Arabidopsis thaliana: one gene and its partner. The protein of the gene in region 1 interacts with the protein of each later gene in a pairwise test. Each region holds a gene or a part of one and is shown in the gene's direction. Other genes may lie near its edges.

Region 1 (4,662 bases):
ATTATACTTTAGCTTGTATATAATTCTTTCTTTTGGTATTGCTAGTTTCAATTTAGTCAAGAAACTGTGATTGACAAGATGCTGATCAAGTTTGAACCTTTATTCCCAATTTAAAGCATTCACTAAAATTATACACACACACACACACACACCTTTCTTTGTTGTTTTTGTTTTTGGTACAAAGGAAATGGTTTACTTATTTGTCAAGATCTGACAATTGGACTAGTACCTGAACCCAATAGATGCATGAAACGAACCAATATCTTACAATAAACTTGAGATGATTTACTCTTTCAATTGTTTTTTTCTTTCATATCTTGTAATGCGACAGATACGATGTTCCATCGAGGCCTTTCTTGAAGTATCCCTCTGTGTATTCTTTCAAGTCGATGACTCTGTATTTTGAAGGGTTTTCTTCAGAGAGAAGCTCTTTGATTGGTCCATAAACAGTTGAATTCGGACGCATACTTGTGCTGAAAAAGCTAGCTACTGATATCCTCGGTGTAGCTGCCCTGTTCGCTAGCACCCTGTGCTCCACACTTATGACTTTGTCATTCGTTATTAGCTGCGTATCAAAGGTAAACTCAGATTCTCAACATTGTATATTTTACTAATAAAGTTTAAAAGAATGGATCAATGAAGAAATTGCCTTGCCTGCAAGAAATCTCCCATGTTGATGACTAGAGCCCCTGGAATAGGAGAGACATCGACCCAACAGTCTTGATGAAAGATTTGAAGACCACCGATTTGGTCCTGGAGAAGAATGGTGAGGAAGGAGTTGTCTGAATGATTATTTGTGCCGATGGTTAGATCAGGTTGTGGACATGGAGGATAATAATGGCAGAGCAAAAGCAAACCCTTCATGCAATCCATGCTTTTAAGCTTATCAGATCTCAAACCAAGAGCTTCTGAGAGAAGCTCAAAGAGCAAATCACCTAATCTCATCATATGCTTTGAGTATTCGAACATAGCAACCCTGAGCCAATATTTCATAAGATCGCTCAACGGTTCATAAGATTTCTCAATGAAAAACCGTAAGTTACTTACCTGCAAGCCACAGGGAGATCCTCAGGGTTTGGAGGATCAGGAGCCATGTAACAAGCGAAAGAGTCTCTCCAGTTAACACATGAAGAAGAACTATAGAGATCGAAATTACTATTGTAGACAAATCTTTTAGTGGCGTCACGAGTGAAGTAGGTTTTCTTAACCTCAGGAGCTTCCTCATGAAACCTACGAACTCCATCTTGAATCTCTTGAAGAACGTTTAAAGGAACACCATGATTGATCACCTGGAAGAATCCCCAATTCGATGCAGCGTCTTTGATCTTCCCAACGATATCTTCACGGGAGACGTGGAGGCCTTCGAAGTCGATGATAGGGATCGCAAAATCAGTGGTAGAAACAAAAGGTTTCTTGTCGGATAAGGAACCTTGAGGGAGACAGAAAATTCGAGGAATCTCAGTGATGTGAGCATCAATGAGACCTTTCACACCTGTTTTCGTCTCGTCGAAAGCTTTGCGCTCACTGTAAGAGTCGAATTCTTTGGTCTCCATTTTTGTTTCTTTAACCTATTTCGAAGATTCATTCACAAAAAGCTGCTTCATACATATACAAAAAGAAGAAGAAGAAGGTTATCAAGAAAAATGGATTTATGTTTTTGCATTCTTGTGGTGAGAGAAGACAAGATAGAAACGACAATTTGAGAATTGTATGGTTGAAAAACGTACGTCCTGTTTTGCTGCTGGTTTAGTTTGGTTCTTGATCAATTGATTCTGCTCTAGCTTGATCAAAAACGTATGTCCGGTTTTGTTGATTGGGACTGGAACTTATGTCAGCATGACGGTGCCTTTTCATCTTCTTCTTGGTTGAGTTTTAAAAATGATAAAAATTCGGTTTAAATTTTAATTTAGATACTTCGGTTCAATTCGGTTTAGCTTTTCTTTTCCACCTTTAATTGGTTAATTATATAAATTAATCTTTTTTCTCTCTGAAAAAAAAAAAGACAAAAGCAGAGGAACCGAAGTTTAAGCTAACACCGAGAAAGGATCCGTCTCTCCGACGACAAATCAGACCACCTGCGACCTAGAACGACACAAGGAGACATAGAGAAAATGGGTTTCTTCTCTTTTCTTGGAAGAGTTCTCTTCGCTTCTTTATTCATCCTCTCCGCTTGGCAAATGTGAGTCTTTTCTTCTTTATTCCCTCCATCTCTTCTCTCGTTTCTCCGGTTATTGGATTAGGGTTCGACATCTTCTTCGATGAACTTCTATCTTGCTAGATCCGATTTGATTGAGAATCTTCCGCTAAACTGTTTGATTTGGTCTAAGCGACATCTAGGGTTAAATCTAGGGCTTGTCTAAATAATCCCTTGCTTGATTTTATCTTGCTAGATCCGATTTGATTGAGAACCTCTCTTTAAGGCTTTTAAAATAGAGTTAGCTTCCAAGAGACTGTGGTATCTCTGATCTTGAGCCTTTTAATAGCTCTGTTGTTCATATGATCTCTATCTACTTAGATGACCAAGAGTCTGTTTCTTCACTATTTGTGTCTGATATATGGTGAAGTGAGATACGGTGGATTGGTTTCTAGGTTCTGCTAGTCCAATTCCATCCTGAAAAACACCATTTAGCTCTCTAAATTGTTTGTATACACATCTCTGTTTGCTTGAAAGTTTACTAGTCATATGTGTAGAGGCTTTATAAGTATCCCCTTGTCGATTATCTTACGAAATCCGAACTATGCTTCTCTGGAATTCTTATTAGGTTCAATGACTTTGGAACTGACGGTGGTCCAGCAGCTAAAGAGTTAGCTCCAAAGCTTGATCTGACCAAAGCACATCTCTCTTCCATATTGGGAGTATCATTGCCCAACTTAGAGGTATGCCCATTGCGTTGATTCCTTGTCTTCATGTCTCTTATGCTGTCTATATATATATGTTGCGTCTGACTTGGAAAACTAATTTTGAAAGGTGAAACAAGTCGTGTGGGCTATTGTTGCTCTGAAAGGCCTAGGAGGCTTACTCTTTGTTATCGGCAACATCTTTGGTGCCTATCTTCTGGTTAGGATTTCTTCACTTTTGTTTAAGTATTCAAAAAGTTAAGTTGTTGTATTGACTTTGGATTTCAATTCTTTGTTTCTTATTAGGCTGTCTACTTGGTGGTTGTCAGTCCCATTTTATATGATTTCTACAACTATGGACCCGAGGACCGCCAATTCTCTCTTCTATTGACTGAATTCTTGCAGGTTTGTCTATACACCTTTCTTCATTTATTCGTTTTGGCTTGCTCTTGCCATGTTCTTCGAGCTGAACCTAGTCTGAATAAAGTATATTCCTTTATGGCTCTTCTGAACCTTCTTCTATGATTCTCATTCTTTTGAATCAATGTTTTATCACAGAGTGTTGCGCTTCTCGGGGCATTGCTATTTTTCATCGGAATGAAGAATTCAACAACGAGCTCCAAGAGGATTCTGAAGAAGAGGACTCCCAAGCCTAAAGCTGCTTAGAGTTCTTCTCTTCTCCTCCACACACAAAGGCAGGTAGGCTTCAGAAGAGCTTCTGATGTCTCCAAGCATTACCTTTGTCATTCTTCCTTACAACTTTTGGTTCCTTATCTATTGTAGGATTCTAGAATTAGCCACATTTTGTATTTTATCAATTAGTTTTTATATGATTTTGGGATTTAAGCCGTTTTCTTTTGTTGGATCATATTATTTTTTTCAGTGATTTTTAAAAATTGGTCCGAGAAGGTTTTTCTGGGGTTATGAATTAGAACCGTTAGTTAGATTCGTTAAGTTTCATTTTTTTCTTGTTGTAAAATAGATATAATTATTTTACTTCAAACCTATTTTTTTAATATTCAGGTTTATGCTGTCCAATAAGCTTATCGGATACCTCAAACATGCAATTACTATTTGTAAAAAAAATCATATACATGGTTAAAAATTGTCTTGCAAATCCGTTCCAACCGTTACAACTTTACAAATCCAACGGACAAGGTTAATATGCGTAAAATAATATGATATCACATCAATAAATTTGTCGTATCTGACTTCAGTTTTGAATAAAGGTTATTTCTAGAGAACCTAAACCGCTAATTATTTTTGTGATAATTATAATAGGAGATTAATTAATTATTCAAAGACATATTGCTTTTTGTTTTAAACTAGAATATGATTCTTTCCATTATATGTGGCACACAAAATCTCTCAAGAAAATAAATAGGTAATCAAGGTGTTGGTTAGTCTAAAGTTGGTATAGGGAAAAAAAAGTTATATTATCTCCTTGGTCTAAAGTTCATATCGTCTTTATCATTCTTTTGCTTTTTATAACACAATTAATATTTATTGAAATATTAACAAAAGTTACGAACAATGCCAAACATACAACTGACTGCAACAATGGTTTGTTTGGGAAAAAAACTGCCACCAACAGAATTTTGATTTTTGAAGACCAAATAGATAAAAGGACAAGAGTTAAGAAATTTTCGATATTTTGTAATTTTCTATGTTGGTAATTGATTTTTTTAATATTCTTTGGTAAATTTTGGATTTCTATTATTATCTGAAGTTCTGAACTGTAGTTACCAGAGTAACTGCTGGTTGAAATTGAATACAAGTGTTTCTTTCGACGAGCTTTTACATTTCTTGATAATCTTTTTCAGC
Region 2 (5,475 bases), on another chromosome or scaffold:
TGTAATTAATAATTTAATGCACAAGTATGGTTAGTACAATTAGCTGGAATAGCTCAGTTGGTTAGAGCGTGTGGCTGTTAACCACAAGGTCGGAGGTTCGACCCCTCCTTCTAGCGTTTTTTATCCTTCAAATGGCTGTTTTAAAATTCTGATTCATACTTTTTTTTTTCTGTCTGAATAGAAAGTTGATTTTGTTTGAAAAATCTGATTCATAATCATGTACATGCATGATAACAGTCTGATGTTAAACCATCGTAAGGAGCAGATTTAGCATTCTAGAATAGATCTATTCTGCTTACTTTTACCCCAAATTTAGATTTTTCCATGATTAATATATTGTTAGATATGGATCAGACAAAGAAGATTAGTCTAAACTCTAAAGCCATTGTCCATTTGATTTGTCTAAAAGATGTAGACGTAATAGTCAGCATAAACACACATTTGACCGGCGATTTAATAGGGACGAACAAGAAGATGTATACATCATGTGGGTGTAACACTAACACATGCTTTATTAATTACATATACAAAAATTTAATTTAGTTAGTTGGAGATCTCATACACACAACAATAATTAAAATAAAAGTCAAACAGATCTACTATTTTCCTTTTCATATCACAAAGCAAACTTGTCCTACTACTTAAATCAACACCATCACGAAGAAAGTTTCAAGAACTCACCTAAAACACAAACAAAGGAACTCCACTTTTTTTCCACACCACATCACACCATGTTTAGAGCCATGAGCACAAGGAAAATCCATGGTGGCTACGAAAAGCTCGGCGATGAAGAAGCGAGACTGAAGAGGGTCTCTAGCGTTCCGGCTAGTGTTTATGGTCATTCAAGAAACCCGGTTCAAGAAGTGAAGAAGACACCGACAGCGAAACCAACCGGTGGTTCTGTTCATCCTTTGTTTAGTTTCTTTGACGTTCATTTTCAAAGAAAGAAGAAGAATACGGCGAAGAAGAAGAGTTTAGCAACGGCGAAACCAGAGTTTGCTAGGTATATGGAGTATGTGAGAGAAGGAGGTGTGTGGGATCCGAGTTCTAACGCACCAGTGATTCATTACAGATAGATTCGTCAAGGAAAATGAATAAAAGATTTGTATATCGTCTTTTTTTTCCAAATATATAATCTATGAGAAAGCCAAACAATCCTTGATTCGATTCGAAAAGATGCATCAAACAATGTATTAGTCATTTTTGCACGAATTGATGAGTGTTTTGTACACTCTCATGGAGATTCCGTGAAGAATAAGATAAGTTCAAGGGTCTTGACTTTAATATATGATCAAAAAGTTGATTTTGGTTTTCTTATTTAAAAGGATATGTTATATGAACTGAATCAATTCGTAGTAGTTGCTAATATAGAAGCGGTCCCAGAGCTGATATCTTTGAATCATGTTCTATATTCTTCATTTCCCACCTTAGCTTTTATTTTAAGAATTCAAAATCAAGTGAGAACAAATTCAAAATAAAGTGAAGAAAAATTCAAAATTTCCAGTAACAGATGCATATTTGATTTTCCCTTTTCATCAAAAAATAAAGTTACGAATAAAATATTATTATATTAAGGAGAAAAAAATAGATATGATCATAGTCTCATATTTCTTGTGAAGACCAGTTTTTTTTTAAAACTATATTGTTAACCAAGTTTGAATACTCGCTCTTTATTAAAAGCGTGTTCACATGGGTCACGTAACACGTTTAAGAAAAACCTGGCTCTAAAAATATTATCAAAATCCCAGATTTGACGAAGACAAGAAAATAAAAAAAGACTTTTAAAATCGTTTTCAAAATGGGCTTTACAGATTCGTGAACAGACAAAAATTGGGCCATGGGTTAATTTGCTTTTTAGGCCACGTCACCGTTTTAGTGACGTTTCTGAATATTCGAGATGTGACCCCACTTAAACAAGATCCCTTGGACGACGTCGTTTCGACCACTTCACGAAACCCTACCGTCGATTTATTTACACAAAGTACCCCTTCATTGTATAGCGCCGTCCTTTGCTGTAACTCTTACCGTCAAAGGTTATATCCGTCTTTCCAAATGTCTCCCAAAGACACGTTTTAAAAAAATAAAAATAAAACGAAGAAAATCAGAAAATGGGTCGCCAAGAATAGAGGAAGAAGCAAAGAAGAAGAAAAAAAAAAAACAGAGCGTTTCAAATATTTGCGGAGATACAAAGCTGAGAAGAGATAAAAAAAGCCTTGGAGAAGAGGTTTTCTTCTTCTTCTTCTTCTTCTTCTTCTTCTTCCCTCCTCTCCTCTTAACGATGTCGTATCACGCTTCTTCTTATCTTCTCCGCCGTCGTCTTACTTCCGTATAACCTCGATCTCTCACCGTTGAATCTTCCTCAGCTTTCTTCCGTGGAGATCTCCTTCGCGCTCGAGGTAAATCCTTCTCTTACGCCTCCGGATTTGATGTTTTCACCTTTCTCTGTTTGTTGTTTCGGTGAAATTTCTGGAAATTTTCGTTATGGTAGGTCTGAATCTCGAGAGATTCGATTCATTTTCATCGGCTTGACCTATTGTTAGCTTCTAGATTATCAGATTTGTGATTTGATTTTGCTAGCTTCTTTTTTTCGTGCGAGAATTGAATCAAGTTTTGTTTAGGTATACCGATGATTGTGGTTTGAGCACGCGGTGTTTGCTTTGTACCTTCCCAATAGCTAATTCTCACTTATGCGAATGACCATTGTTGGTTGATTTCTGATTCGATTGAAATGAAGAAACGCTCTTTGTGGTTTCGGTTTTTTTTTATTACTAATTTGATACTTGAATGATTGCAGAGCCATGCCTACTTTTTCTGCTATTGCTTTGGATAGAATGCTAGAGCCAGGGGCTTCCACGTCTGTCGAGAGTGTTCCAAGCACAACTAATTTGTTTTATTCAAAGCCACCGATATCAAAACTGGAGAAAGGTAAAGGTAAATTACCTAATGAGAGGACAGTTACTCGTCCTCTGATGTCACCTGCTCTCTACGCCACACCTGATGCGATTCCGCTTCCTAATTCGCCATCGTCTTTCCCACCGTCGCCTTATATCATCAACCACAAATCACGTGGACCTCCACGTCTTCTTAAAAGCTCTTCTGAGGCTAATGTTGTGTCTTCTTCCCACCAGAAGACGCTGGAAGAGGAAACTATTACTGCTGAAACAGATGTAAAGGTTTCCCCTCGGAGGAGGTCCACTTCCTTCTCGTTTCCTATCACTGAGGTTACTGAAGATGATTATTCCAATGGAGTTCATGCTCGTACGGTTGGAAACTATAATTTTGATGGTATTGTTGATGGTCCTGTTGGAAATTGGAGTCCGCTTGATGGGAAAAGTGGGAATGGGAAGTCAGAGTTGGATAACGCTGCTAATGGTTTAGAACGGGTAAATGGTCTGTCTGAGCCAGTCCCTATTAAAACAGACAAGGAGAGTGAGTCAGAAGATTTCTATGACCCAGGTGAATCAGCAAGCTTCACAAGTAACACAGACGTAGAGGGTGATGCTGGGGACGAAAGTTCACAAAGACTTGCCACACCTGTGGGAGAGTTTTATGATGCTTGGGATGGTACTTATCTAAATCTTATTCTCTTACTAATCATTTCCTTATGAGATGGCTGTCAATGCTTATGATCTTAACGTTCCCAGGATAATATGATTAGTCACATTTTAGAGTCCCTTCTTTTTAACCTTTGAGCATTTGAGGGTATTCTTTCTTTAATATGCAGTAGTAGCGCCTTGTCATGCTTTGGAATTTTGTTTTCTTCTGGATATATTGAAATTTGAAAGTGATGAGTTATCTTTCCAAATCATGATGATTAATGCATTATTCATTTCCCTTGATGAGTATCTGCAAAGTATCCTGAAAGTTAAGCTTTAACTCGACTCTATGATTCGGAACTATTTAGTATTTTGTAATCCATCTAATTTCTTGGTTTTTCAGAACTATCAACCGACAGTGGAATGCAGAGTTCAGTTAATAACATCGAATCTGAATTAAGTGAGATAAGGCTGAGTTTACTAATGGAAATCGAGAAGAGAAAACAGACAGAGGAGGCTTTGGAGCAGATGCAAATTCACTGGCAGAGACTCCGTGAGCAGATGGCTCAGGTGGGTCTGTTCGTTCCTATTGATCCTACCGCCTCCACCAACAACATGAATCTATCAGAAGAACTACGCTGTCAACTCGAGATTGCGAGGTTTGTCTCTGACTCTTTAGGCAGAGGTATGGCAAAGGCCGAGGTAGAGATGGAGATGGAATCTATGCTCGAAACTAAGAACTTTGAAATCACACGGTTGTCTGACCGTCTACACTACTACGAGGCCGTGAACAGAGAGATGTCTCAACGAAACCAAGAAGCCATAGGTAGTAGAAAATCACTCTCATTCACCAAATTTATCCATTGTCATTTTCTATCGTATAATAAAAATCTAATCTCACAACTCTGTTGATACCAGAGGTGGCACGACGAGAGAGGCAGAAGAGAAAGAAGAGGCAGAGATGGATTTGGGGATCAATTGCAGCAACCATTACTCTAGGAAGCGCGGCATTGGCATGGTCTTACATTCCTGCAGCCAAACCATCATCTGAAGTATCTCTTAAGGATGAATGATTAAGTAAGTCTCTTGTATACGTAGTGGGTTTGATGCAAGCAAGAGAAATAAAGATACAGGACGTTTAGCGTACGCCTTGTGAATAGAAATATATACATATTTGGTTATTGTTTTAACTGTTCTCAAGAGGATGTATAGCTCCGAGTAGCTGCAAACACATTTTTCTTGCGGTGGCATACTGATGAGTGGCAGCCACAGTCACTAATATTTGGTTCGGTTTGGTTCTTATTAACATTCAATGTTAGCTCTAGTGTAAGGTGCTTGCCTTGCTTACATCTTAAAGAAACCTTATTTTTTAAAATCTTGATTTTAACAAACGGGCTCTGAATCCTTCATTTCGATATTTTGAAAAGAATTTGAGGGATAACAATTTTAAGCTTTATAAGTAAAGCTTGGTATTGCTTATCTCTCGTCTTTGAACCAGTTAAGTACAACGTACGCTGCGAAAGCTAGCGCAAATGTAGCTGCAAACAGAAATACAGATATTTGCACTAATAGAGATGCCTCGAAGGCTTCACGAAGAAGCGAATTCCACATTGTGTACCATAAGATGCAGAAAAGAGAACCAACAATGGCACCCACCACCACTTGACTGCTTGTGTGCAGTTTTTGAGAAACCCTTAACCGTATCTGTGATAGTGCAGAGAGTGTGAGATCAATGGCAACTAAATGATTTCATATATGAATGAAAAGCTTGAATCAATTAGGTGAAACTTGTTATAACAGACTTACAAAGTATGAACCCAATGCGAGGATTAAGCCGCTAAGAAACAAAGACACACCGTTGGTTCCAAGCCATTCCATAACTGCAGAAAACACGACTCGAGTGAATCCGTTGTAAACAGTTCCACGATAGCGAACGATG

The links.
Region 2: the proteins of AT1G04340 (region 1) and AT3G50910 interact in a two-hybrid assay, tested with the Arabidopsis thaliana proteins (one large-scale study listed by BioGRID).

Annotation. Positions count from the first base shown.
Region 1 is NC_003070.9:1,162,187-1,166,848, reverse strand, and holds AT1G04340 (HR-like lesion-inducing protein-like protein), read left to right. Parts: upstream 1-1,987; 5' UTR 1,988-2,111; coding exon 2,112-2,179; intron 2,180-2,762; coding exon 2,763-2,877; intron 2,878-2,968; coding exon 2,969-3,058; intron 3,059-3,144; coding exon 3,145-3,243; intron 3,244-3,396; coding exon 3,397-3,504; 3' UTR 3,505-3,944; downstream 3,945-4,662. Other genes in the region: AT1G04350 (2-oxoglutarate (2OG) and Fe(II)-dependent oxygenase superfamily protein), read right to left, coding at 311-565, 655-976, 1,048-1,553.
Region 2 is NC_003074.8:18,917,391-18,922,865, forward strand, and holds AT3G50910 (netrin receptor DCC), read left to right. Parts: upstream 1-1,936; 5' UTR 1,937-2,396; intron 2,397-2,794; 5' UTR 2,795-2,798; coding exon 2,799-3,564; intron 3,565-3,939; coding exon 3,940-4,362; intron 4,363-4,454; coding exon 4,455-4,609; 3' UTR 4,610-4,911; downstream 4,912-5,475. Other genes in the region: AT3G50900 (uncharacterized protein), read left to right, coding at 732-1,076; LPPepsilon1 (Phosphatidic acid phosphatase (PAP2) family protein), read right to left, coding at 5,013-5,240, 5,343-5,416.